Lytechinus pictus: one gene and its partners. The protein of the gene in region 1 purifies or fractionates together with the protein of each later gene. This does not show direct contact. Links are inferred from orthologs where the notes say so. Each region holds a gene or a part of one and is shown in the gene's direction. Other genes may lie near its edges.

Region 1 (6,948 bases):
CTGGCTGAGCATAGGTTTAAAGTTTTGACACAGTGAGGGTGAACTTCACAGGTTTCTATGGAATATTATCAGTAGCTCTAAGAACATATCAATTCATGCCATGAGTCAGTCTCTTCTAATTTATATTTGAAATCTGATATGCTTTACAACATGAAATATTTAAATTTGAATGATTTATTATTAATTCATGGAAACACTTGTCCCATACATGAACATGTACAGAAGTCAGAACAAAATGAAAGACTTTGTAATCACTTACACAGTATGTGACAATGTGTAGTCAGAGACACACTGAGGTGTAAGTGATCAAAACGACTTGTTTTAGTTTTATATCAATATAATTTATCCAGTCAAGAAGGAGGCAAGGGGAGGAAACCATGAGACCCCATATTTACTAAACTACAAGGTTATTAAAGTACTTGCCTTCTTTAATTCCCTCTTTCTTGCTTCCTTCCCTGTGAAAATAAAATATACAATTGTAAAATAAATGTTTAATTGTCCTCTAAAGTCTTTATTTTAAAGGGCTAATGCTAACATCAAGATTTAACAGAAATCCATCCAATCCAAGCCAGCTCCATGTCCCAAGAATTACAGAACATGCCCTAAATTCATGAGAGGTTAAAGCCAAAATTAGGTTTTGAAGCTGTATTTCAGCTTCAATCTCATCATCATTGTGCAAATTCTCAGTCAGACATTGCTTCGCCATAATTTTTATTTAAACTGAAGTTAGCGACCAAAATCATGCAAACATGCGGCAAATAAACAGGTGTGCTGCCGCAGACAAATCTTTTGGTCACTAACTTCAATCCATGTCAAAATTACGGCAAAGCCAAGTAGACCTACTAAAAAAAAAAAGATAACGTCGAGATTGGAGCCGAAATACAGCCTTTCCCGATCGCGATATCTCAGACTCAGGACAAGGTCACAAGCTGGACAAGCGGTGGACATATTTTTATTGACTTCGTCTTCGGAATCGGATGTGACCGAGTCTGACTCTGAGAGTGAGAGACTTGCCATCAATCATCATATTTGCAAACAATTCTGGTCATGCTGGTGGGGAATTAGCTCGAAGTCGGCCGGTGCAAAACTGCATTAGCACCACTGGCATTGCCATTTGCATTAGCATCTCGATTTCGATTGGCATTGCCAATGGCAAATGGCATTGGTTCTATCATTGATACCGCCAGGCATAACAATGCATATTTATCTGCGTGTGGGACCAGGCCTTAATAAAAATAGATTGTCCCAATCCATCCCGAAGCACTCACGCATTCTCATTTCTTCAGCATGATTTACACAAAATTTACTTACTTGCTTGATCAGTAGGATTCATATACTTCCCACTTTTCGTGGTATTGATCGATCGTCTCCCCATTTTGGCAGAATTTTAATAGGAATTCTCCTCACGATCACAAAATCCACGGGCACGGTTAAAGCAAATGTACAATTATTGTATCTCTATCGATGAGGGCGCGAACACCGATGATGATCTCCCCGCGATTTACCCCCACAAAAAGCAATCCTACAGATCGAGGAGGAATTACTGGGAATTACTCGGATATAAATATATAATGATAATATATTCCAACATTTCCAAGAATTTAAAATTTCTGTGATTTTAAATATGTTTTCAGATTCATTTGAAGGAGTCTAGACCGACCAAATTAGGCAACAAGTTTTTCATGGCCCTCAAGGGCGGAAATCTCTCCCGGAAGGTATAGGGGACCAGGGGCTGGAAAATTTGACAATTAAGCAAAAAAAAATTAAAAAAAGTTTATCACCCCAAATGTAAGGTCACTTCGACCAAAATAAATTTTACAAGCAAAAAAAAAAAAAAAGAAAAGAAGGTTATCACCCAAAAAGTAAGGTCATCTCGTCCAAAATACATGTTTTATTTCAATTTTGAATTATGTATTTCTTTCCATCATACAAAAAAAGTAGGGGGATCAACATTTTGATATTTCGAGGCCTCCATCACTTTCAAGCTCCAAGCTTAAGATGGAGGTCTCCCACATTTCTATATATATATGTTCAGTAATTAAAGAAAATGTATATATATAGATATAATTTCACAGTCCAGTTGATATTTTATAATGATTTATGTGCATTATTCATTATGTTTAAAAAAATATTTGCCTATTATGTAATATTGAAAAAAAAATATTATACTTGTATATTTTTTGTTTTTGTTTTGAAATGTGGAAATAAAATAAATCAAATCAAATCAAATATTGTGTCCCCATACTATTTTGGGTAGGGAGGACGCGTCCCCCTGTCCCCCCTGGGATTTCCGCCCATGATGGCCCTGCGAAGCGGGGATGCTAAAGTTCAGCACCTCCTAGCTGAATTCTGGAAGATGTAGCGAATTTGGAAATGTAAGGAAAATGACTTTTTTCTAGGGACCAAAACGACCTTCATTTTGTAATGAAACTTTTTTTTTTGCTCGTCAAATTTACTTCAGCACCCCAGCAAAGGACCCTGAAAAGCTTCTAATGGAATGCTCCATGTTCAAAATTTTGTTGCACAATTAACACATGGCTTAATTTGTGATGCGACAATTAAGACAATCACAGAACTCTATGTCCACTCTCACAAAATAACAGATAAACATAGATAAATACATAAAGAAGAAGAAGAAGAAAGGAAGAAGAATTAAGAAGAAGAAAAAGAAGAAGAAGATCGAAGAATTGATTTGTCATACTACTTTTTGCGTTACGTTCTATCTTTATATACCTTGAAATTTATTTGTCACTGAATCTATAAAGTCGGCCTAAGATTTATTAAGAATTAGGCCTACTATTATCATTATTGTTATTATTATTAATATTACTTTCACCATCATCATCTTTATTATTATTATTTTCATCCCGGGATTTTCATCACCATTTTTATTGTTATCATCATTATCTAATATTAGTTTGTTCTTGTTAATTGTTGTTGTTATTCATCACTATTAGTGAGAGGTTTTCCTCTGTTCTTTGTTGAAACCGTAATCAATGATGTATTTACATACAGGCTTATATGTTCTCAGGCCTATTTCCCTGTATGCAACTTATTACTTTTTCCCGCATTTTTTTTTTACTGAAATGGAGTCATCTCGGTGTAGTCAAGAGAAAATCAATCCGATAAATCTGGACAGACCGGGGGCCGCGAAACGAGGGAGGAGGGGGCTGGGTTGGCTTTAGCCCCCACTTTTTTTTCCAAAACCGTGTACAAAAACATAAAAATTACCGTCGCATTGTTATTTTTGCATGGTCCCCCCCCCACCCCCCCCCCTTTCACAGCCGTTCTGCCTTCCGCGACCTATAGCTAGTCTGCAGGCACAGACTAGACCTAGACCAAAAGCTTCGGTCTCCGTTATGTTGGTTGTTCAGCTGAACTCCGTTTTAGTTGGCTTCACTCACCAAATGTGTACGAGGAGAAATTAAAAAAATTAAAAATGTAAAAAACCTCCTCGAAACAGACGGCTGCCAGCTGTCTAGCACAGACCCTGATTGAAACTTTCAGTGTGTCTCTACGCAAAGACTAGCACATATAAAACTTGCTGTTGAGCGCGAGAGGGCCTTCAGTATATACACAAGGCATGAGTAGGTAGGCTGCAATTCAGACCCTTTACTCGAGTGAAGGGTTTGCACAGCAGACTATAGCATTTAGCCCACTGAACTAGAGATACGTATTTTTAGTTCAGTGATTTAGCCGCCGCGCCCCTCCAAATTAGTCTGCTATGCAGACTCTGAATGGCTCGTGAAGTGGGATCTGCAGCTGGTTTGCGAAGCAAACCAGCCTGAAAGGGCGAGCGAAGCGAGCCATTTCAGATCTGCAGGCTCTAGTAGACCTAGTCTGCTATGCAGACTCCTTGAATCAGCTGTGATACACACACTGCAGATGTGGGTCTACAATTGTAGACTACCTCCAAATCGCATCGATGATGAAAAAAAAAGGGGTCCTATAATTATACTGCTGCTAGAGGGCGCTCGTTCTGGCCAAAGAAAGTAGCGTTTGCTGCGTCCTTCGGTCCCAGTCAAGATGTAAGAACAATCGCTTTATTTCGAACACATCTTAATATTCTCGTCGTAATTTGAAAATTTATGAGTATGCTCGATATGTTATCTTAACATGCATTGTTAAATTTTTGTATATAATCAATATATTAGCGTGATGATCATCGTGTCAATTATGCGAATCCATTGACGATCGAAGTCATTTTAATGACTTTATTGTCAATGAGTGGGACTGTACGAAATGAAACTCGGTTTCTAATTACGGTTTTCTTGAGTAGATCTACCCTGAAATGAAATCTTATTGTAATGGTTGTACATGTAAAAACTGTCCTCATAAACAAGGACCCTCGCAGGTAATCCTAAATCCTGGGTATTTGTGTTTAGCCTTTTGCTTTAGGCCTAACCTAGAGTAGCTTGCCTTTTCTTTTTGACTTTTGAGTAAAAATTTTAGTTTTACTTTTTAGTTTTAAAATTAGCCTTGGCTTTGGCTGCCACATGTCACATCCTACCTCAGGCGATGTTCGTGCAGGCTCCACTTCACTACCGCTACACTACGCTCCACCTACCCGAACATCGGGACCGTGAACCATTTCGGATATACCGAGTCACAAAGGTCATGAACAGTAGAGGCGCACGGCCAATATTGGAGACTGTCTCCAATGTGGGAGATTATCTCCAATATCAGAGACTTTTGTAAAGAATTTGGGTATCCAATTTCAGAGACAGTCTCCAGTTTTGGAGTCCAATTTCCTTTGTTTACATTTGCTGCAAAAGGATTACCTTGGCGGCAAATGAAAATGTGATAAGCAGATTCCTCATGAAAAATTACCCCTTTTCACCGTCTACTTTAAAAATTCACCGTCTACTTTTGTTTTGATAAGGATTTTTGTTGTCAATCACACACAAAACAAATGGGCTTCTGATCTCAGTGAGACAAAATTTTGGGTGGAAAAAAATCATGCTTTTGTTGGTGTTGTTTCTTTTGTCCTTTTGCAAAGCAAGGCTCCAATGTGGGAGATTGTCTCCCCTATTGGAGAGAGTCTCCCATATTGGCCGTGCGCCTCTACTGATGAAGGTGGGATGGCAATCATGATAATCATAAAAATTAAACAAAAAAAATATAACGAAAAAGATGATTGACTTAATATCTTACTCTACACCCGTATTTCACTCCGTGTCCATCCTCCGGTTATCCTCAAAATTTGTGATTTTGGGCCAGTATCTTTCTCCTCACACGTATTATTCACGGCTGATTTCAAATCATCGCATGCGATCGCGATCGGTTTGACTTTTAGACATCCGAATTTGAAAATTCAAACAGTTTTGTGAATCGTAGATATTGAGCCTCATTGTGAGCATATCAAACATGCTGGAACAGCCTTTCCTAATTTTCACCTGAAGTGCCTAATTTAATACCTCATTCATTTTAATGGCCCCAGTAGTAACAAGAAAGTTATGGTAGTTTTAAGTTCGTACAAATCGCCCCTTCAATTCTTATGTATTCCTTTGTTTTTTAAAACAAAAGTTGTGACCTTAATTGGGGACCAAGGTGCACTAATACTAGAAAACAACATACATTGGCATATGGAAGTGCCCAACAACACTCCCCAAAATTACAGACGCCGCCGAAACAGGGACATAAAAAACACACTTAGCGTCAGTAGATCTCTTTCAAATTTCACCGCAATGGAGTTGAAATGTTGTTCTATCGGAATAAATACCTTTTAGAGTGGGATGATACCTGTAAATATAAATAGCAAGAGGTTGAAAGCAAGGCCAAATTTCCAGTAGCACACAGGGTCGCAAGATCACCGAGTGATATTTTTTCAAGTCTAGACAGCTGCCATAAACATTCAACTACGTAAAAACAATGATGTTATGGGGAATAACTTTCCTTGCACATGCAAACACAATACAAAGCAATGCCCCCACAGTCACCCTGCAATTATAGGCAGCACACTCAATGCTTCATTCACTTTTGTAACATACCTATACCAAGGCTCCACATTAACTTTTTTTGGTGGTGGCCCGTTCGGGCCACCAAAACCATCAAATAATTTTTTTTTGGTGGCCCGATATTAAAGTTTGGTGGCCCGAAAAATATAAAGAAACACATTAAAAATTGATAAAACAAACTTCTGAAATATTAATTCTGCAGCCACTACCACTAAGTTACTTCCACTTTATCATCTTGTATGTAAACCTTGTTTGCTGTTATTTTACTTTGCTAATTGGCTTGTGGTAAAATATAAATTGTTTCTATCATTGTAAAAATGAAATGATTGAAAGAGAATAAATGAATTTTATTGTTCCCAGGTTGTGTGGACTTTTTTTAAATCTCTGTATAGACACACACACTCATAATGGTAAAGTAAATAAATAGTGCATAGCAAACACAGATAGATGTACAAAACTATGGTTTTTCATTTCTTCCTCTTTGAATCCTAAAACCTAAATTATGCAGGCCCCAAATCCATTTTATTTCTGTTTTCCCTTTTGCAGTATATTATAGCAGGAGAAAATCACAGAAAAATATTCTGCAAAATTAGAACAATGCATAAAAGGGGGAAACAAATGAAAATAATTTTCAAAAAGTATATTACAAAAAGAAAAAGAAAAGAAAAGAAATAAGTGAAATAAAACAAAAGAAAGAAAAAACAAAGAACAGGGAAAAAAAGAAAAGAAAAAATTAGAGAGAAAAAAAAAAAGAAAGTGAAAGAAAAATGAATAAAACAAAATTAATATAAACATGGGAAAAAGGGGAAAATTAAGAAGCCATTACGAATATTTGTTAACAGCTGTGGCAACAGTCTATTCTGACTGGAATATAATTAAAAGCCAAGCAAATAATTTTCACTTACCTTCTGGGAATGGCATTTTATATCCTTTAGTTTGTATTATTTTATTTTCAGTAGAAACATATTTTTTAATCAGGCATATTCAATGG
Region 2 (7,267 bases), on another chromosome or scaffold:
TATATTTTCATTGTCAATATTATACATAAAAGTGATAAGGTATAAGATAAACTGAATACTGATGAGACTTCATTAAAAAAAAAAAATTTGAGACACTTTAGCAGTATTAGCCAGTATATAATAAGGCATCTGAAGAACTGTGACATGCATACTTCTGGTTATAAACTAATCATGAAAAGCTGCTGAACTTTTGACATATTTGAATATCATACAAGAGATATGCTATTAACTTTAACTTTTCTGAGTTTTAGTTAAGAAAATAACAGACTAGACTAAGTTTGGATACAAGGTTGGTTAATGAAATACAAACCTTTCTTAGGAGGAGCTGTTGCAGTCTGAGGGGTGTGAGCATGACGTTTATTGGTCTTCTTGAAGAGGGACTCGGCCTTTTGTGGCGTCACTTTGCGGACATCTTTCTTCTCTTCATCTTCAACCTCCATCTCATCATCAAACAAGTCTGACAGTCCGTCTTCGTTATCAAAATCTTCATAATCTACAAAAAAGAAGAAGAAATATTGATGAAGATAATTATATGAGCATCTGATATACAACTGTTCACTAAATCATTTATTCTCCATCAAGTTCCACTATAGAAAAGCAGATTGTTAATCTGGAACAGTTCGTTTGAAAGTCCTTTTAAACAAATTGCAATTACCAGTATACAGTGCGTCCCAGAAAAAAGGAAACCGGGTTTCCAACATCTTTTTTCTTCAAAGGCAAATTAATTATGATATTTCATTTACATCATCATACAATTCAATTATTCCGCTACATATTAATACCTACTATGTGACAAACACTCCATGCAGTAATGAGCAAGACGAGTTTGAAATTTTAATGCCAAAATCAAGTTGCGCAGAAAGTTTGGACAAGATTGGTTCATGATACGACACGGTGCTTATTCAACGATTGGCTAATTAGCATTTCTTTTGTATTCTTTGTTCAGTTTCTCTGACTGATCCCTGAAATAAGAGTGGATTCAGATTAACTCGTGAGTTTCTGCACAAATCGTTTCTGATAGGCCTCAATATTTATTGTTTGTAATCTAACATGCATGAATGATGTGCCAAGCTGTGGGTCTTACATTAAAGATGAGATTCCACTCTTAACATAAGTATCAAATTCATAGTAAACTAAAAACATGTTTAATAATTGTGAAATCTATCTCTGAAAACAGGTTTCCTTTTTTGCGAGACGCACTGTACAATTTGTTTTCATAGGCAGAAAACAATTTAAGAATGGCAAAGATAGAAAAAGAGATCATCAACCAATCAAAATCAAGTTTTCCATGGTAGTTACTATTAAGGCAAAATTACTATAATTAAGCTCTTTCTGAAGTGGGCCCAAAAGAAATTTTCATGGACAAAGTATGATAAACCAATGTGCTGGTGGCTGGTAAACTACCAAGGGTTAAACTTGCAGTTCTGTAGACTACATAACACACCTAATCCACACTTCTAAGTATTTTACTGCACTTAATAAAGTTTGCAACCTGAACTCATTAATTAAGTGGAAACTGAAATGACTGCAGAAAAAACTGAGGCACTGCTACATGAGACTTACTTATATTGTGAGATTCCTTCTTGGCTGGAATCGAAGAATCTTTCTTTTGCTTTCGCTTTGGTGTTCGGTCAGCAAAGAGTGCATTTGAAAAGGTTTCTTTTTTAGGACAAGGCTTGGTTGGACAGCTACTCTGTGATGAAGTGGGGGTACCTCCGTTCATCTGAACCATCTGCTCTCGCAACCTTTGCAGTTCCTCTGTAGAGTAAATCAACAGGCGCAAAGAATTATACCATGCCATGATGTTAAAGGAGAGAGACAGAGAGAGTGGAAAGTTTCAGCAACATGTATCAGCAAAGTTTCAAATACCAACTCTACAGAAAGTCAGAAATACTATTTAAAAAAAAAATAAACAATCATGCATATAAAAATACAGATTTTCCCTCACAGAATGCAGGGACTCAGTTTTAAGGGGAGCGAGAGTGATCACTCGCTACCACTCGCCTCCATCCATTTCAGGTAGCGCGATTTATCGCTCGCCTAAGCGAAATGTATTTTTGTGACATAAAATTATAAATGCAGTAAAACTAGAAATCAAGCAAAATCACACATGTACACTTTGTATTATGTATACAACATTTTACTTCCATGTATAATCTCTATTCTGACATCACTTAACCTGAATGTAGAACGAGTGTCAGTCAATGATTGAACTGTTAGTGCCAACCTTATTCTCAGTCAAGGTTTTACAAATAAGACACAATTACACAAGTATATTTAAGCAATAACACACACTTGAAATGAGATAAATATTGTATATATATTAATATGCTTTTCACACTGCACTTTTTTCCTTGACCCTGGGAAATTGGTGGGGCTAAGGGGGGGTCTTAGCCCCACCAATTTCCTGGGGTTAAGCTTAGCCCACTTCGTTTTCACACTACGTTTTAGCAAAGTGGGCTAGCACGGTAAATAGTATGGTACTATCTGGCCCTGCAAAAAAGCAGGATTAGCCGGCTTATTGTGGTGCTAGCACCACAATTGCGGTGCTAAGAGATGCAGTGTGAAAACAAAACAGGGCTAAGGAAAGTGGGGCTAAGCATTAGCCAATCACAGAAGTCGAATTGCACGTTAATCACGCTCTGTATGGTAAAATCATCAATATTCATGAGCTGAGGGATAGTCCGGGTTAAGGCATTAGCCCCGGCTAAGCAGATAGTATGGGGTTAAGAAAGACAGTGTGAATCGAAAAAAAGATAGTATGGGGTTAAGGATAGTATGGGATTAAGGAAATGCAGTGTGAAAAGCATATAAGGGCATCTGATTTTTTCTATCTCCTTTGGTTGTTGGTTGCAATTTAGTGTTCATTCCTCCATCCATTTTGTAATCGGACAAAACAGCTCCATTTGTATGTCAAAGAAGAGCTTTTTGCAGTGCTCCCCTTAAAAGTTTTAGGAGAGCTTTTTAATACTCCCCTCATAAGTGGGCGCGTCGTGGTCTAGTGGTTCTGACTCTCGCCTTTCAAACAGTGAGTTCGAATCCCAGCCATGGCGTGTTTTCTTTCAGCAAGAAATTTATCCACACTGTGCTGCACTCGACCCAGGTGAGGTAAATGGGTGCCGGCAGGAAGTAATTCCTCACAAAGCTGTGCGCACCAGAATCGGTAGACTAGATTGTCCGGGGAATATAGGAGCGCCTTGAGCACCTAGCAAGGTGGATACGTGCACTACACAAATCCTATATTATTTATATATTATTATAATTATAATCTCTTAGAATGCTTAAACATTAATAAAAAAAGAACAAGCAGGCCTACCTATCAACTCTTCTTTTGACTTTTCATCATCCCCACTGCTCTGACTGGATCCAACGGATCTTTTTTTCCTTTCATGACTGGTACCTTGCTTCTTGACTGCTTGTGACACTTGCTGCGAGTGTTCGCTCTTTACTGAGAAAGGATCACCGCTATCATATGGATCCGCATCATCTTCGTCATCAAGGAGTGAAGTGAGAGCATCAAGGTCGTCTCCATAATCCTCACCTGCCATTGCTATCAAAACATGTGATTGAGTTTTAAAAAATGTGTTATCTTGCAATGGCAATTGTACTGTCTTCCATCGGCATGCAAATTGAAATAGTCTCAAGTCGTAATGTCTTTAAGTTTACGTAGTGATAAAGATCAAAACGACTAGTTTAGTAGAATGGGGGTGGGGGTGAGGTGTCTGGACACTTTAAAACTTTAAAGCCTCCTTTTTTTGTCTTAATTTGTATTACTATTAGATCTAGGCCTAACTGTTAAAGATCTACAAAAAAATATATGAATTCAAATTTCCATGGCATGATTGATAGCTGATAGACTAGCTAGTTGCAATTTTCTTCAATTTTGTTCTCTAAGTCTAGCCTAAGTCTAAATAATATTGCTTAGATCTAACGTTAAGCCTGTTAAGTAACGTTAAGCATGTTATTGTTAAGTAACGTCCAACGAACATTCTTAAAAGTTAAATTCAAATCTTAACTAAATTTTGCTGAGTGAGATTTGTTGCCAACGTTGGCTTAAATTTAATTGCTTGATTAAATTATTTAACTTTAAGTTGATAACAATTTCCTAGGATCAACTTAATGATAAAAGTCATAGTTATGTATTAGTAGATCTACCTTGCTTTATAGTACTGCGGTGCGGCCAATGATTCGTTGAGCTTGATCAGTTTGTACCCGGGGTGAAATGACGACCCAGGACCATGTCAGGTGTACATGTATGTACTAATGTAGGACCGGACCGGGCCCGACAGGCGCGGCGCGATCGAGAGGAGGGAGCTCGCGTTGTCCCTCGCGCCCTGGCCTGAGTCTGAGACAAGTTCAACTGAACTTCAACTTAAGTCTTGTTATTACTTCCTCCTCCGCTCATGGGAGTACATCTGCATGTGGTAGTCTGCGATAATAATTTGAGAAATGACTTTGACTCTTTGAATTTGATACAGCAAGAAATTGTCAGTAGGGATTCCAGTCGCGGTAAATTTCAATCATCAAACAACAGAAACAACACAGTTTTGTTTTGCGCGCGCCGATCCAGCCGGCCGACCGGATGTGTGGAAAAGCCTTTTGACCTTTGGATTGATCGCTGATTCCGCCTCAACAATACTCGTAAGATCTGAAATTTGACTCCTTATAACTAATTTATATTATTGAAGGTACCCCAAAATAACTTTAATACCAATCCAATTCCGACTGACTTATATTTAGAGATTGTTGTAAATAATGGAAATACTCTGATAGAGTAAAGTTTAAATGTTTATTTGCCAGTGTAGTCCCGTGTATATCAATTTTTGTGTGGTTGGATGTGATTGCCTTCTCTGTCTCATTGACATTGCGTTTGTTGTGAAATGTTTTGTAAATGTTTTCTATTCCATTTTCATCCATTATGGTCAGAGATAACTTGCTGATTGCTGCAAGACTATAGATCTGCATGATTAAGCTGCCCATGCCATGGTTTACAGGTTAGGGTCTAATGAGTAATGTTGTTAGGAAGTTTGCATTTTGAAAAAATATTCATGACTTTTTAAAAACTTTATTATTAGCCTAAAAATTAGCTAAATTTTTTTAAAGATAAATGAAAGTAGTTGCAGTAAACACTGATTTCACGAAAAAGTCAGTAAAACCAGGCTTAATTGTCACTTTATCATCGAGGACCTAGATCTGGTACAGTTACATTAACTGAACTTTGTGAAATCTTGAAATCTACGCTGAAAAATGTTCACACTGAAGATCACCAACACAGATAATAAGTGCACGTGGGACAGTGTATTATTATTGCTTTGAATGTCGGCCCGACGCTTGACCCGAATCCCAAGCTTATTTGCTAATTTCTCAGCAATTATACAATTTCTTCCAGAATCCTTGGCTTTGGCACATATGTTTTATTTATACAAACAGACACTTTGGTGGTCGTTTCATTGGATTCTGTACGAACTCATTTTGAAATCGTTACCATAACTTAAGTCTTTTTTTTTTAAGGCTTTTAAGCTTGTTAGATTTCTGCAATTCCTTTGTTTCACAAATATTTTGCAAAGGGGCCCAGCCACCATAAATCTACCACTGGTAATACAGCACTGGGCGTTGTGGCGTGCGCCTGTAATCCAAGCTGTGGGGAAGTTACAAATTGATGCAGAGGTTCGAGGTTCGAGCCCTGGTCACGTCTTTCGGATGGTGACGTTAAAGGTCGGTCCCAGACGTAAATAATCATATCTGATTGATACACGTCTGACAAAACTCAAATACACACACACACACACACTGGTCCTATTTTCCCAGGACAGTGACTGCGTGGAATGCGCTTCCCAAAACCATCCGGGGGGGGGGGGGGGGGGTGGGGGTACTCGACCAAAAAAGTGGTAAGTATGTGCCGCGGTCGAAACAAAAAACGGGGGCCTTGGAGCGGGCTTATTGTAAAAAGGAGGGTCCTCGGAACGGGCTTCGGAGCAACAAATGTTTGTGAAAACGGGGGTCCTTGGAACGGGTCGCCTGCGTGTGAGTGCGTATGCATCTCTATGGAACGGGCATACGCGCATGCAGCTTGCCCAGCCACCGGGTGCGCTCTCGCAGAGGCGATGGTCGGAAAGCGCTCTGCGGCTGCTTTTCACCAAAATTGCAGCTCATTGTAGCAGATCAATGCGGCCGGAACGGCGTAACGAAAATTATGCGAAGCTTTGGAACGGATTTCTCTATTCTTTTTTTCTCGATAAGAAGAAAATGTTTTGCTTTGGAGCGGCTTTCTTTGTTCTTTTTCTCACTAAGATAAAAATGCTATGCCTTGGAACGGAAATTTGAGTGTAAAAATGGGGGTCCCCTCCGCGGCACATACCCAAACTCCACAGATATTTATTCAAAATTTTTACCTTAGATAAATTTGTGATATCTACTCTGCAATATGCAATAACTAATTTCACTCAAAAGTTCATAATTAAATTTAGAAAAGAAAAAAATAATAAAATCACTAGACAGCTCACCCCGCTACAAGCCTTGTCGTCATCAGTGTGTTTACTGTGGTTGCATGCACCAATTTGTATATGCACTATTGTCACCTATGAGGTCAATACTGTTATGTATTGACCTCATTGGTACTAGGAGTGATTAGGGCCTACTGTACATTGTATGGCTCTATGCCCAGCTGCCATTTAATCAGCTAGACCAAATGAATATTTAGTCAATTTTCTTGTTTTTTGCCAAAATTTACAGTTGTCAAGTCTATTTTCAACAGAATAAATGCTATTTCTATTTACAACTGAAAAAATTGATACAATTAATCATCAAACAGGGTGAGATTCGAACCCTTACCAGTCTGACAGTACAGCTTTAAGAGTTCTTACTTGACGCCTTTTACCACTCGACCAAGAGCAATCAATGGCAGAAAGAAGTGTTCTAAATGCATTATACCTCTTCTTTGTAGAACCTTGGACCTCTGCATCAAGTTGTAACTCTGCATCAAGTTGTAACTTCCTTGTGTAGCTTAGGTTAAGCTAAAGGCTCATGCCTGTGATGTAGATTGAGATAAATAGATCTGTACCCCTAGCTCACCATCTCTTTTGTCAGATTTATCACCCCACAGCCTACAGACTTGTTATCAAACTTGATATGAAGACAGTCCTAGAAAGTAAACAAAACAACTCTCATTTTATGGATGACACCTTGATGGGATGAGTTTTTAATCGTCTTATAAAATTGTAATCGATATTGGCCATGAATTACTGGTTGATTCTTGGAAGGCAGGATA
Region 3 (7,139 bases), on another chromosome or scaffold:
ATATTATATGACCTATGAATTTTATTTTTTTAAATAGCTACTTTGCTATTCTTTTATATCTGTAAACTCACACTAGCACAAAGAAATGCATTGAAAATGCCTATTTTCTATGCAATGACCCATTTTAATGTGTTACTCATACATGTTATATTCACTATATGGATGTCTACCTATCCTACCTGCATATAGCCCAATGAGTGAATGCAATGACAATATATATAGGCCCCTATTCTCCTTGTAATATAAAGGTGTATGTAAATTTTGTGTAGATATCAGAATACCAGAACTGCCCCAAACATAATTACCAGATATACATGAGATTGAACGAGGAAACAATAAAAGAATGAGAACATATTACTTTAGTACATTTGGACTTGACCTATTATATCAAAATCTTCCTAGGGCTATTGCCTATCAGATGTAAGAAGGAAGAGATACATAAATAGATAGAAAAAGAGACAGAGAGAGAAAAAAAGAAAGAAAGATAATTTGATAGATAGCATGGCTTATAAAGAGGGGGGACTAGACTAAGATTGGAGCACACCGTCAGCCACCCCCCCCCCCCCTCCCTCCTTAGTTGAGCACTATTAGATACCTTACCTTACTCTGTGCCTTTTTCTAAATACCTTCTTGAAGGTACCACTCTAGTTCTCTTCAGTAAAGTTCACAAAGTTCTATTTCCTCTCTACCCCATTCCAAAGAACAATTTTAACATGAGCAATTTGTAAAGGTCTTTCTAACATTAAGTAGGTGATCATACACTAGCACAAACCAATGATGAATCAAAACATAAAGAGGCCTATAGACTCTCATTGACCAGTCTATATGCATTCCTAGGCTTACATACACATACCTACTAACTTTACCTGATATATAGCCTTGCTAAGCCATTAAATCCATTTTTTGCACCACTTGATGACTAAACATATTGATATCAGTTAGAAATTGTTTGCTACTGAGGAGTTTGGGCAGGTATTCCATCCACTATAGGGAACTCGCCTGTATTACATATAGGTCTCACGCGCGTAAAACATTCCCCATAGACTTGTGTGTTAAAATGACACTTAAGAAAAATTCATAAAAAATAAATGTGAAATTAGAGGGTCGAATGTTTACTAATTTTGGATAGGATATATATCTGACATTCCATATCTGACCAGAGAAGGGTATCGTAGCCAGCTCATTTTAAAAATAAATCGTCATTTATGAAGTTAACTATGATGGGATCAAATTCATCAACTGAAACAGTAAAATAGCCCCAATTCTTCCGCCAGTCAAAAAATTGTTCCAAATCATTGATATATCTTCCCAATTTGGGCAAAGGAATTTCAGTAGTTACCATTTCTAGAATCAGTGTTAGATTTTGAATCATATTCATACACTTTTGTCAATCAGCACTATCAAATTTAAAAAATTCGAATGGGTTGGGTCGAATGAATATCTTTAGCCGTCCTGATGTAATTAGGCTCATGGCACCAGTACTCTTGCCGCAGGTTTAGTCAAATTCAGATTGTTAGTCTGATTCAAAGCCCCCAAAACAGAGTAAGCCCTTATCATATGGTTGTCAGTCTGCCGAATCGACGCCAATAAGACATCAACCGCCTACACAATGTACGCGAGGCCAGTCGTTCTCTCTTTTTATCCCACACCCTGAGCTTGAGAATTTCAATCTCGATATCATAAGGAGTGCATTTTGATAACACAATGCGTCGAGAATTCAAGCTCTATATGAAAAAATTATTTGTAATTTTTTAATGAGACAATTCCTCAGCAATGGGATTAAGAACGGCTTCTCAGTGACAGCATGCAATATTTAAAGGCTTGAAACAGATTTCTGGCTTCGCTAGGCTACGAAAAAAAGAAATCTGTTTTGAAGACTTAAAATCATGCTACGAATCTTGGACTTGTATTTTTCAATATCTAGGCCATGGTAGAAAGCAAATGGGCAACAATAGTTTTAGAATATTTCTTTCACTTTTCAGTCGCCTTGGACTTGTATGGTCAACAATCAAAATCTTTTTTACCTTTCAATGTATATTGTTGAAACGCCAAATAATAAAATTACAATATGCAAATCAAAATGTTACTTTGTAGTCGTCTTTCAATTAGGTGAATTTTCTATCTTGGTAGAACTAGTGAGCAGTGAGTCAACCTCCCAAACATGAATGTCAGTTACTTCCACGTGAGGGAGCGCAGCGACCGAGCAAAAATATGAATTGTGCTACTTGGCATTTTTAAACTACAGGGGCCGCGGAACGGTTTTCAAAGTGGGGGGGCTGACCATGCAAAAAATCACAATCATATGGTCGATTTTATGTTTTTGTACACGGTTTTTGAAAAAAGTGAAGCCTCCCAGGGGTACAATTTTACAAGAAAAGGGGGCCACAACTTTTCTAACAAGCAAACGAAATTGTCCTCAAAGGGGGGATGTATCCGCCCCTAAAAAGGACGCTCGAACTTAGGGGTCTATGATGTAGTGGGCGAGTTTACACGAAGTCGGCTCCAATTCCTTAACAAAGTTGAAATTAATTTCGTAAGCCTATAGTCCTTGTGAACATCGGTCCGTATTTTGTCTTTGTTCGATGTGTATTCCCCCACCTAACCCTTTCTTGGATTTAAACGCCTTGAATACACTCCGTACCTTATTCAATTTCCAGAAATATAAATAATAAGCATTCTAAGCCCTGCATGCCCATACCCTATAGAGAAGTTCAAGAACTCTTTCCTGCAAAGAATATAATGACACATTTTCTGAATATTTTGTATTAGCAAACCGTTGCAAATGATAAATGTGATGGAAGTAAAAAATAATATTCGCTTTTTAACATCATAAGCATTTCATAATAGTATCATTAGTAACTGACTTCACCTAGTCTGCAGCACAGACCCTGATTGAAACTTTGATCAACAAGTGGATCTTCACAAAAGACAAAACTTGATGTTACGTGTCATTGTAGGCTGTGTATTCAGACCCTTCAACTCGAGTGAAGGCTTTGCACAGCATACTATTCCAGGCCCCCCCCCCCCACTATTTTCCAAAACCGTGTACAAAAACGTAAAAATGACCATATGATTGTGATTTTTAGCATGGTCAGCCCCCCACTTTGAAAACCGTTCCGCGGCTCCTGTATTCGCCATCTTGGGTAGGCCTACACTATTTACTTGTTCAATCAAACCCCGAAGATGTGTATGAGGAGTACTAATGGCAATATGATTATTTTATTTGTATTTTGTTGAAAATTATACATGTACAGTCCGACCTCTCTTATCCGGACACATTGGGACCAGCACCAATCCGGATAAGGGATTTATCCGGATCTGGGAGACCCAATATTAAATACACGCAAGCTGCGGCCTCGATCCCCGCAACGCGGCGGTAGCTAGCTACACGTTATCTATTGTTGTGGGCCGGGCGTACGGTACAGACATGTATTCACTGCAGTGTCAGTGCAAATTATAGGCGGTAATTTTTACGGAAATGAAATCGAACGATGGCCAAAACTGTTGGATAATTTACCTGCTAAAATGATTGAGGTATAAATCGAGCATACCTCGAAAGAGAGAGAATGAATGACTCGATGAAAGTAAGTTTTACAATTAGATCATCGCGGCCGCTATCGCAGCTTCGCAATGTCAGCCATTGTTATACTGACTGTAGGCTCAAACATGATAGATGGCGCTGAGCTGTCCGTATTAATATTGAGGCCGAGCATTAGCTAGCGAACATGTGTTGTTTTTCCCGGGGAAACAACAAGAGAACGTGATGAAATGTTTACACTGCACCCCGATTTACTGGAAAATTATCCTGCCTAAATTCTTTTGGTGATTTGGGTGAGATATTTTCATGAAAAATAATGTTGTTTTAGGTAGACTACACTGGAAAATATATTTAATCAAAGTGAGTTTGCGTATAGGATTGAGTTTAGATTGCAATCTCATTTCCTCACGTACTAATAAAATTGAATTGAAAAAAAATCTCGGCAAGTGTGCGTCCGGATAATAGAGAGATCCGGATAAGGGGAGGCCGGATAAGAGAGGTCGGACTGTATTATGAAAATGAAATATTAATGTCCGCCCTCTTAGTTAAAAAGATACCCAGTGCATTGCTCATCTTCAGCGAGATGCACGCACTGTATGTCGCGTTATGTCCACGGCTGCACACGCGCGAAAGGATTTTAGAGATTAGTCACAAATTTAAATTGCGAGGTAATTGTAAATTTGGCAATAGGTCGTCTGCTCTCAGTGAAGGCAAATCTGTTATTGCTTGCTGTTGAATACATTTGTTCTTTTTTCGAGCCGCTTTGGCTTAAGCTAGCCATGGGGAAATCTACAGAGGAGAAACTTCTGGACTACATCAGGGAAGGGGAAGTTTTAAAAGTGAAATCATACCTAAAGAAACATGCCCTTCTTGATCTAAATCAAATTCGACACCGGGATCAGCTCCATCGGACGCCGCTTCACATTGCCTGCGCTGCCGGGCACGAGAAGATTGTCCGGCTGCTGATGAGACTCGGGGCAAGCTCAGAAATTCAGGACTCCAAGGGGGATACCCCACTTCATCTGGCTCTAAGTCGTGTTCTGCATGGTGATGAATATGGTGAGTTTCAACATTGGATGGTTTGTTGGAATTAGTGACCTCTATTTAGCGGGGAATTAGATCTATAGCCTATACATCGCAAACTTGAGACCTATTTTCGTAACCAGCAAAGTTATTACTTATTTAGATATTTTGGTAATTCTTGGTTTATATTATAACATTTATGTAATTTTAGAAGTGTTTATTAAAAAGAAAGAGTAGTAGACAAGAAAATTACATTTTTCTTAATCGCGGTTGCTCCTAAGTGAACTTATTGTCACTTTGCCTAGCATGACTTTTCAGAGGTCCAACTTAACTGGGGACCAAATTAAAAGGTTTTTTTAGAGGAAAAAGAAAAATCAGACAAGAAGATAGGCAAAAGTTTGAACTATATCAGACAAACGATTAAAAAGATTTCTTTTATAGTTGTGCAAATTGGTATACTCTAAATTTCTTAGATGGAAGTAGATTGTGATCAGGAACAAATCCGAATTTTTATTAAAGTTTTTAATCTAATACATTTAGAATTCAATCTTATTCGATTGAAACTTGATCCAATTTTAGATTAGTCCCTGACCACACTCTATCAGATTGACTTTCAATCTACGGAATTTCAAATTGGCCAAATTGGTGATGTCATAGTGATGTAATTAAGGCAATCACTACTCTTTCTAATTCAATAATAAGATGACAAATTTATTTTTAAAAGTTTGACTTCAAATTATATTTTACATTCATGAAAACATAAAACAATATGCTACCTGTATTGTATTTTGATTACTGCCCCAAGGGAATAGATACTTAGAGGAAACCAAAAATCCCTGATATTAAGTGAAGGTATATGGAAAGTTGTCCCTACAACTTCTAATGATTTACTATATATGCCAAGTTAAAAAATTACATTGTAAAAACACCGAGTAATATTTTACCCAATTTTGGGTAAAAAGGGAACATGCATGTTTGCTGGTATTTTTCTACCCCACATCGGGCTATTTCAATGCAACATTGCGTAAAATTTACAAAATATTTGGTATCTTTTTACCCAACCAGCATTTTACCCAATATTGGGTAAACCTTTTTTTTTAGATAGTACATAATAGTCTTGGGGATCTCTCCCAACTCCCTGCTCAAACAGCCATAACGTTCTTATTTCTTGACAGATTTCGTTTAAAGGTCAAGTTCACCCCCGGAGAAATTTTGATTTGAATCAATAGAGAAAAGTCAAACAAATATAACGCTGAAAATTTCATCAAAATCGGATGAAAAATAAGAAAGTTATCAAAACTTTCTTATTTTACATCCGATTTTGATGAAATTCTTATTTTTCATCCGATTTTGATGACATTTTCAGCAATATCCTTGTTTGATTTTTATCTTTCGATTCAAATCAACATTTTTCTGGGTGGACTTGACCGTTAACACTTTACCTTTATCACCTTCTGTTTACTTGGATTTTACACAGACTCTATACGACATACGCTTCATAATGCGACAACAATATTAAGTCAATGTTATGCCCTATTGAATTATGATTCACCTAGCGAGATGAGAGAGAGAGAAGAAAAAATATAAATCTAGAAAGTTTGTTGTTGTTGTCTTTGATTTGGAGACAGGTACTTCTGCAATTGACTGATTTCGTTTAAAGGTCAAGTTCACCCCAGAAAAAATGTTGATTTGAATCAATATAGAAAAATCAAACAAATGTAACGCGGAAAAATTTACCCAATATCGGGTAAAATGGTCTGTATGAATGTATGATTTTGTGTTACATTTAATATGATAATAATTATGATACTTAATAAATTTGAAACAAGAAAATAAACAGACTAATATTATTCATAACAGTTAATTGAACCAAAAACCCTGACAGGAAATGAAAATTTAGCAATCTTCTTAAGACTATAATGCAAAAGTTAAACAAATCATTTACATACATGAACCAACTGTCATAAGCGAATTTAATTGTTGTTAATTTTTAATCGGCGTTTTTATATTGGTTTTTATAGATGACAATCCAAGTTTGACTTGAATCAAATGTAATTTGTGCAGCGTTTGTAATTGAAGAAACATTAGATGCGAAAATAATTATAACATTGATGAACAGTTTTTGCATTGCGCATATCACATTTTGATCATGTTGATATAACGTCTCCGTGCGCTTCCAAAGCACTAATTCTTACATTACTTTGTGGGTAAATTGTTTGTATGTTATTTTGTGGGCGTATTTGTAAGTTTAGGGGTTACATTTTGGGGTCTAACAGGGGTCTATAAAGCGCCTTTTAAATATCATGTATTATTATTAATCATTTGAGAGTGTATAAAACAGGTCTTTCTCGTCATGGGTTGTTCTGTATCACTTCTCAATCTCCCGAAAGGAGCATGACTATTCTTGGCGGGAAACGCTCCTTCATGTTGCCCCATCATAGCGCATGTGGCTGGTAACATACATCTAACACCATCAAGTGGGACTAAGCATTCTAAGAGGGGGAAATTCCTAATATCCTTACCCAGCTAGACGGTTTATACATGGGATTGCAAGGGGATACATCTGATTTGTGGATGT
Region 4 (7,087 bases), about 6.4 Mb from region 1:
AATTCATTTGAATAATAATACAGAAAAAACAAGATCACCAGCAAAATTGTTCACCATATGGAGCTGATGTAATAGTGACAAAATTAAATCAGCAGTTATGAATTTAAAAACAAAACGATAATAGAAAATGACAAGTAAGTCTATTATCATCATCATCACCCTCATCATGCATCATCATTATCATCATCACAGGAGCCGCGGAACGGTTTTCAAAGGGGGGGGGGGCTGATCATGCAAAAAATCACAATCATATGGTCATTTTTACGTTTTTGAACATGGTTTTGGAAAAAAGTGGGGAGGCTGAAGCCCCCCCCCCCCCCCTCTTCCGCGGCCCCTGCATCATCATCATAAAAAAGATTAGATCTACTGTTATTAAAATTATCGTGATTATTGTTATTACATATATCTATTAGGTCTATCACCATCTTCCTCGTAAAAGGAAATATTGAACAATGATTTTATACTCTCTTTGAAGTTATTTCACAGAGATTAATTTTAGACGTGGGTTAATTAATTCGGCGCAGTGAAGTATGAATCACTATGTAGCGAATGGAAGCTAAATTGGTAAAATTGACAAAATTGACAAAATAACGTTTATCGATGTCTTCAGTTTTTTTAGGATCGTATGTTGCCTATTTAACAACTTTGATCAATGAACTTAAATTATAATTTTTCCAAATATGTTTATTGTCACACAAATAATTATTAAATTACATATCTTATATAATTATAAAGGTAACAAAGTTCTAAATGTAATTTTTTGAGTTGTTTTTGTCATATAATGAAACACTAGTCTTGACAATCTTCTCAAATCGCCCTTTCACGTAGCTAACACGTTCATTCATCAGCGCGCGCTTGCTGACGGTGAACAAACCTTGCGCTATTCTATCGACGTTTTATATCGTCGCGGAAAGGAGGAAAGCGCGGGGGTATGTAATAGTTGTCTACAACCAAGCAACCGAAAAACTAAGGAGAATATAGGATAATGGTTGAAGAATGTCATCAAGGCACTTCCCAATACAAAATGTGAGCCAAAAACTACACCATATTTTTGCTACCGAGAGTTTGGTTTCTATTTTTCCTGGCTATACGGGTAAGATCCCGGAATATAGACCGTCGATAAATCTCATATAGGCATTGTACTCCAGGCTGAATCATGATTTGAACAGATAAGGAAAATCAGACAAAAACAAAAAACAAACACTGGACATTTCATCACATCGATCGGGAAAAATATGAAATTGTAGGCCTATTCTTATTTGGGTGTAAATAAAACGGTTAATGCATATATGCATGAATACGGCAAGCTAATGGTGCCATTCCTTTGTTATATAAAGAGTATTCATTTCTTAAAACTTAATTTGTCCACCAAGAATGAAAAAAAAATGTATTGGTTCAAGAATATAGTAACTGCTGAAACTACCGGAATCGAGAACTAGGATAGATCTAATGTAATTATGTAAGTAAAGTGAAAGTGCATGGGGACCGTAATCATAACAATAATGCCTGAATATTGCATTATTATTCTTGACAGCGAGATCAATCGGCGTAATATGAATCAAGGATTTTTATCCCAAAAGGAGCTAAATCAACATTTTTTTATAGCGGTTCTAAGAATTAGACTGTAGCACGCAGAGGAGGGTCCAGGATTTTCCAAAAGGGGGCCCATTTTCCCCGAAGAAAGATTTGACAAGCCAAAAAAAAAAAAAGGTTTTTAACCGAAATTTAGGACATTTCGTCCACGAAAATGTTTGACAAAAAAAAAGGGTCTTCACTTTCAAAGGGGGGGGGGCACGTACACTCCTGTTTTAACGGTATTTTTACATTACAAATTTTAATTGTGCCTCTCAGGGGGGGGGGGGGGGCACGGGCCAGCTTTGCCCCCCCCCCCCTGGATCCGCCAGTGGCCCATGTATAGGCCTATCGAATCATTTAGCTATATGATCAGATTCAGATTCATTTATTGTTGATCCATGATAAAATACATAGAAATTTGGCCTCCACTGGCTGTACATACAAAATGATATAAAGTATATATAACAAACACAAACGACGTATACATTGGGCAAATTATATTGCAATACAACATAGTAGGGAGATGTCAAATAATTTACCCATTAAAGACAAAGAGTGAGAAACGGCTGAGAGTTAACTAAGAGATAGATGGAAGAGATCATGCAAGCAAGAAGAGAAAGAATTAGTTGGATAGAAACAAAAGTGGACACAGTGGAGAAGGAAAGTAAGCGAAGAAGATAGAGGGAAATCATAGCAGGGAGAGACAGAGAGAGAGAGAGAGGGAGAGAAAAAAGCTTAAACGGAATGATAATTAGGCAAAAATCGGGAAAGGTACGTCTGCCGGTGCAGGTGCATGAGCCCCTATTAGTGGTATCGTTTCACTTTTTATTTTTGAGTCTTTTTTAGATTAATAAAAAATTGTGCACACTGGTGATGTTTGAATGTTTTGATCGTTATACATGAATCAATGCATCAATTTTTATCCATTTATAATTACTCCTCATAATGGAACCTAAATATTTATACTTAATTTATTAAACCGAAACATAAAATTCAATCAAATACAAGAAAGTATCTGACGACATAATCAGTTCCCTTATTTCTCAACGCCCAACTTTAGTACTCAAGTTTAATTACAGATATTATTCGATTAAAGGACAAGTCCACCCCATATATTGTTTATTTGAATCAATACAGAAAAATCCAATAAGAAGAACGCTGAAAATTTCATCAAAATCGGATGAAAAATTAAAAAGTTACCTGTGACATTTTCAAATTTCGTTTATTGTTCCACAAAACAATTAGGCCTATTATGCACAACACAGTGACTTGCAAATGAGAAAGTCGATGAAGTCCAGCATCGTCTACTTCTTGTTTTATTGTTTGAAATTATTATACAGTATTCTAATTTTTACAGATTTGACAATATAAGGACCCATGGCAACTTGATTGAACCATTAATATTAGCCTTTGCGCGCTGATGCTGCAATATTGCACATTCGTATACAATTAAATTCAGCATGGGCGGAAATCCCAGGGGGGACGTGTCCCCCCTACTCAAAATAGTAGGGGGGACACAATATCAAATGCCCCCCTACTATTTGTGGTCTATGATGGTAAGAAATACATCATTCAAAATCGAAATAAACCATGTATTTTAGGACGAGATGACCTTACTTTTGGGATGATAAGGCCTTTTTTTTTTTTGCTTGTCAAACAAATTTTCCTGCCCCTTGTCCCCCCTACCTTTTGGGAAAGATTTCCGCCCCTAAAATTCAGCAATCGTAATCCCCCTCCCGTATAAGTATCAATGGTGCAATATGGAAATCTTGAATTAAAGAAAATAACATAATATATAATTATATCCCCCAAGATTATTAATTAAGTGTGCAAATAGTTAATAAACAATGGTAACAATTAATGATGATTATTTTTTTCAGTGATATGCTTGTGCAACCAGTCACTTTGATTTGCTAATAGTATGTTATATTGATTATCTTGTCAAATTCAGGGGCGGATCCATGATTTTCCAAAAGGGGCCGATTTTCCGATGAAAATTTGACAAGCAAAGAAAAAGGTTTTCACCTAAAATCGGAGGTCATTTCGTCCGCGGTATTTTGAAAAGCAAAAAAAAAAAAAAAAAAGAAGAGTCCTCACTTTCCAACTGGGCTCCCAAAGTGCTCAAATTAGGATAAGCTAGTAGGCCTAAATATCATAACCCGGGTTTCAACTGAATTGCAATATGGGCCTAAAACATATAGGAACATATAGGCCGGCCGGGGCGCGGCCGCAGTGTTGTTGCGGAATAAACCCGTAGCTTATTTTAATTCGATTACGCGTTAGCTAGGTTTTTATACAAATTAATTATTTAGGGAGGAATAATTCATGAAACAGGCCCTATTAGACCAAGGCCTATTCATGAATTTCCTGTCGAGCTCGGGGCCTGTCAAGATCGACCCCCTCCCCCCCCCCCGTGCTTTCGAACATGGACCTATGTTTCGAAGGAGACGGATATGGATCTGACACAAGGATTCGTAGCGCAATAAAAATAAACGATCGTGCGCGCGCGTTCATGCGGTATTTTAATGGAGAGCTTGGAGTTGGATTGATAATTCGTGAAAGATTTATTTTCCGAAGAAATACGAAATTCTGTTTAATAAGAATTAAAAAAACACAGTTGATAAATATTTTGTGGAGTATTTGTGGTCGTCAACATGTCGGCCCAAGAACAGATGCGGAAAATGCTCGATGAGCTGATGGGAACGTCCCGAAATGGTAAGATCTCAAACCTAGTAAAGTCGAACTCGAACTGCCCGAGTGGACTGCTAACGTAACGAGTAACGTTAGCTGCTGCTCGCGCTCGCAAGCTCGACGCGTCTACACTGTCACTGGTGGAAGTGGTACACAAGCACCGGGCAGGCCGATATCGGGGTGAGAAGACTGCCCGCGGCACGTCAGGTGTGTTGGGCCAAGCGCTAGCAGTAGCACTGTAGCAGGCGCAGCTCAAAACAGGTCATAAGAACCGCAATTTGTTATGGGATCTAAAAGGGGGCAAGCAAGCTAGCTGCGCGGACTGTCAAGTGTGCATAGCTATAAGCTAGCAATAGCAATTAGCATGCTTGCCCCCTTTTCGATCCCAGGCAATGAGGGCGGCATTGAGGCATAACGTTAACGCATTGGGTATACCAACGCATTGGCCATGGCATTGGCATTGCGGTTCTGCATGATTATACTATATTACCCAAAAATTAAGATTATAATAAATATTGCCTATTTTATTGGCGAATGATATTGATACATCAAATGAAAGTTCTTTGCATTAGAAATGCAGCAACAAAAAAATTAAGAAAATTCGACCATTCGTTAAGGAGTTATGGGTAATTAAAGATCAAATTTTTAAAACGCATTCTGCTGCAAGCCGCATAGTGTGATGCCTCAAAATTTTTTGCGATAAACAATTCATGTTTGAAAATTGCTCCATGTCATTCCAAGAATATTTTCCCCCAAGTCTTGCGCGACTTTTGAGTCCAAATTTACAATGCTCGGGTATGCGGTTTTAAAATTACGCAACATTTCGTAGTCCATGTCAGCCCCCAAAATGCAGAAATACGTGATTTAACCCTTTCCACGCGTACTTTGCACCAATGCACATTCGGTGCCGTGCGAACTTCGCATTTCACACTCAGCAAACAATGCATTGTTTCCCTCCCTGAAAATAATTCAGTACAGATGGGTTCATGGTCCAGCGCACAAAGAGTTAATTTTCAAAAGCGAAAAAATATGTAAGAAAACGTCTTTGGTATCCATTGTTTTTTAAGAAAAGTTGTTAGAAATGCCATGAAGCATATGTACAGCAAAAATTAGCACTCTACAAGCTGTAATTAATGAATTAAAACAGAATTTATGATTTTATGAATAAATTAGCATGTAATTAGCCCAGGGGGGGGGGGTACTCGACCAAAAAAGTGGTAGGTATGTGCCGCGGGCGAGACAAAAACCGGGGGCCTTGGAGCAGACTTATTGTAAAAAGGAGGGTCCTCGGAACAGGCTTCGGAACTACATGTACAATCAAATGTTTGTGAAAACGGGGGTCCTTGGAACGGTCGCCTGCGTGTGCATCCCTATGGAACGGGCATACGTGTATGCTGCTAGCCCAGCGGCACGGGCGCCAGGTGCACTCGCGCAGAGGCGATGGTCGGACAGGGCTCTGCGGCCGCTTTTCACCAAAATTGCAGCTCGTTGTGGCGGATCAATGTGACCGGAACGGCGTAACGAAAAATATGCGAAGCTTTGCCAGAGCGGATTTCTTCTTTTCTCTCGATAAGAAAAAAATGCTATGCTTCGGAGCGGCTTTCTTAGTTCTTTTTCTCAATAAGATGAAAATGCTATGCCCTGGCCTGAGTGTAAAAATGGGGTCCCCTCCGCGGCACATACCCACTATGCATTATATACTGAGTGCCCCCCCCTCCCCGGGGTAATTAGTTCATATAAAATGAAGTATATACATGTAAATATATATATTCAGTGAAGTTTAGCTCAACAATCAAGTAGTTAATGTCATTTTTCTACCATCTTGTAAATTTTTGTTGCCATATCATGATCTTTGGCAGAGAAATGGGGAGGGGGGGGGAGTATATGCTAATTTATTCATGAGATTATGTTTTTGGCTGCTACTCCCAACACTCATAAATTTGCAAGTTGCACTGTACATGTATCTCTATGACTCCAGCAATGCTGAATGATGTGTGGATATGCTGTGTGCGCATGTGTCATATGATTCACGAGAGTGGCTGAATTGCTGTATGAAGTGGGGAGATCCAGGCTTATGAGGGGAGAGCAAAAGATATGAAATGTGGTTGTGTTTATTGTGTATTACAAGCTGTGGAACTGTAAGCTTTTTTGTTCAAAGGCTGCAGTATTTGAAAAGAGATATACCCCTTCCATCCCTGATGTAACCCATTTGCTATCAAAAAATATAAATTTGAAGAGGGGGCTAAATAATACCCCCTTTGTCTCCTTTGGCTTCACACCCGATGATTGCACATGACTTGTTTTGTATTTATGCATGCACACACACACGCCACGTGTAGATTACATGTACATGTTCTACCGGCCGTGACCACTGCACTTATGGGCAGCCAAAAGGGCCAAAATTAACAATCTCAAAAATAAAGAACTCTCCTAAATAAATGTAGTATCTCAGAAATATTTCATTTCATATATTGGTTTCTGCAACACTTTTTCATAAACACATTAACAAAGAAAATGCAATAATAATATACATATAACTGACAAGCAGAACATTGAACAAAATTGCATTTTCTATTAAAACATATCGGTTTTTAGAAGGTTGCAGGGGTTGCCACTATAAGCTAAGCTTGACTGCGTGGCAACCCCAGTAACATTCAGAAATGAATACATTACTTTGGACGACTATGTAGTATATAAGTCAGAAATAAAAGTATTTAACCAGAAATTGATATAATTGAGAAATAAATTGTTTATCTCAAAATTTATGGATATTTTTTTGTCTGGACATGTTTTAAAGTGTTTTGGGGTGTTATTATTGTTA

The links.
Region 2: the proteins of RNA-binding protein with serine-rich domain 1-like (region 1) and regulator of nonsense transcripts 2-like purify together in Homo sapiens (co-immunoprecipitation; 5 studies listed by BioGRID and IntAct, with this or other methods). This does not show direct contact. The link is inferred for Lytechinus pictus from reciprocal best matches to the Homo sapiens genes RNPS1 and UPF2.
Region 3: the proteins of RNA-binding protein with serine-rich domain 1-like (region 1) and NF-kappa-B inhibitor-like protein 1 purify together in Homo sapiens (co-immunoprecipitation; 3 studies listed by BioGRID and IntAct, with this or other methods). This does not show direct contact. The link is inferred for Lytechinus pictus from reciprocal best matches to the Homo sapiens genes RNPS1 and NFKBIL1.
Region 4: the proteins of RNA-binding protein with serine-rich domain 1-like (region 1) and putative RNA-binding protein Luc7-like 2 purify together in Homo sapiens (affinity purification with mass spectrometry; 3 studies listed by BioGRID and IntAct, counting the BioPlex papers as one, with this or other methods). This does not show direct contact. The link is inferred for Lytechinus pictus from reciprocal best matches to the Homo sapiens genes RNPS1 and LUC7L.

The regions. Positions count from the first base shown.
Region 1 is NC_087254.1:22,810,655-22,817,602, forward strand, and holds the start of RNA-binding protein with serine-rich domain 1-like, read left to right. Parts: upstream 1-3,941; 5' UTR 3,942-4,026; coding exon 4,027-4,028; intron 4,029-6,948. Other genes in the region: WW domain-binding protein 11-like, read right to left, coding at 424-455, 1,312-1,375. UniProt on the Homo sapiens protein: Part of pre- and post-splicing multiprotein mRNP complexes. Auxiliary component of the splicing-dependent multiprotein exon junction complex (EJC) deposited at splice junction on mRNAs.
Region 2 is NC_087247.1:9,488,353-9,495,619, reverse strand, and holds the start of regulator of nonsense transcripts 2-like, read left to right. Parts: upstream 1-4,257; 5' UTR 4,258-4,641; intron 4,642-7,267. Other genes in the region: protein MCM10 homolog, read right to left, coding at 311-493, 1,564-1,758, 3,317-3,548. UniProt on the Homo sapiens protein: Involved in nonsense-mediated decay (NMD) of mRNAs containing premature stop codons by associating with the nuclear exon junction complex (EJC).
Region 3 is NC_087259.1:27,514,657-27,521,795, forward strand, and holds the start of NF-kappa-B inhibitor-like protein 1, read left to right. Parts: upstream 1-4,129; 5' UTR 4,130-4,317; coding exon 4,318-4,597; intron 4,598-7,139. UniProt on the Homo sapiens protein: Involved in the regulation of innate immune response. Acts as negative regulator of Toll-like receptor and interferon-regulatory factor (IRF) signaling pathways.
Region 4 is NC_087254.1:29,257,580-29,264,666, forward strand, and holds the start of putative RNA-binding protein Luc7-like 2, read left to right. Parts: upstream 1-4,083; 5' UTR 4,084-4,229; coding exon 4,230-4,290; intron 4,291-7,087. UniProt on the Homo sapiens protein: May bind to RNA via its Arg/Ser-rich domain.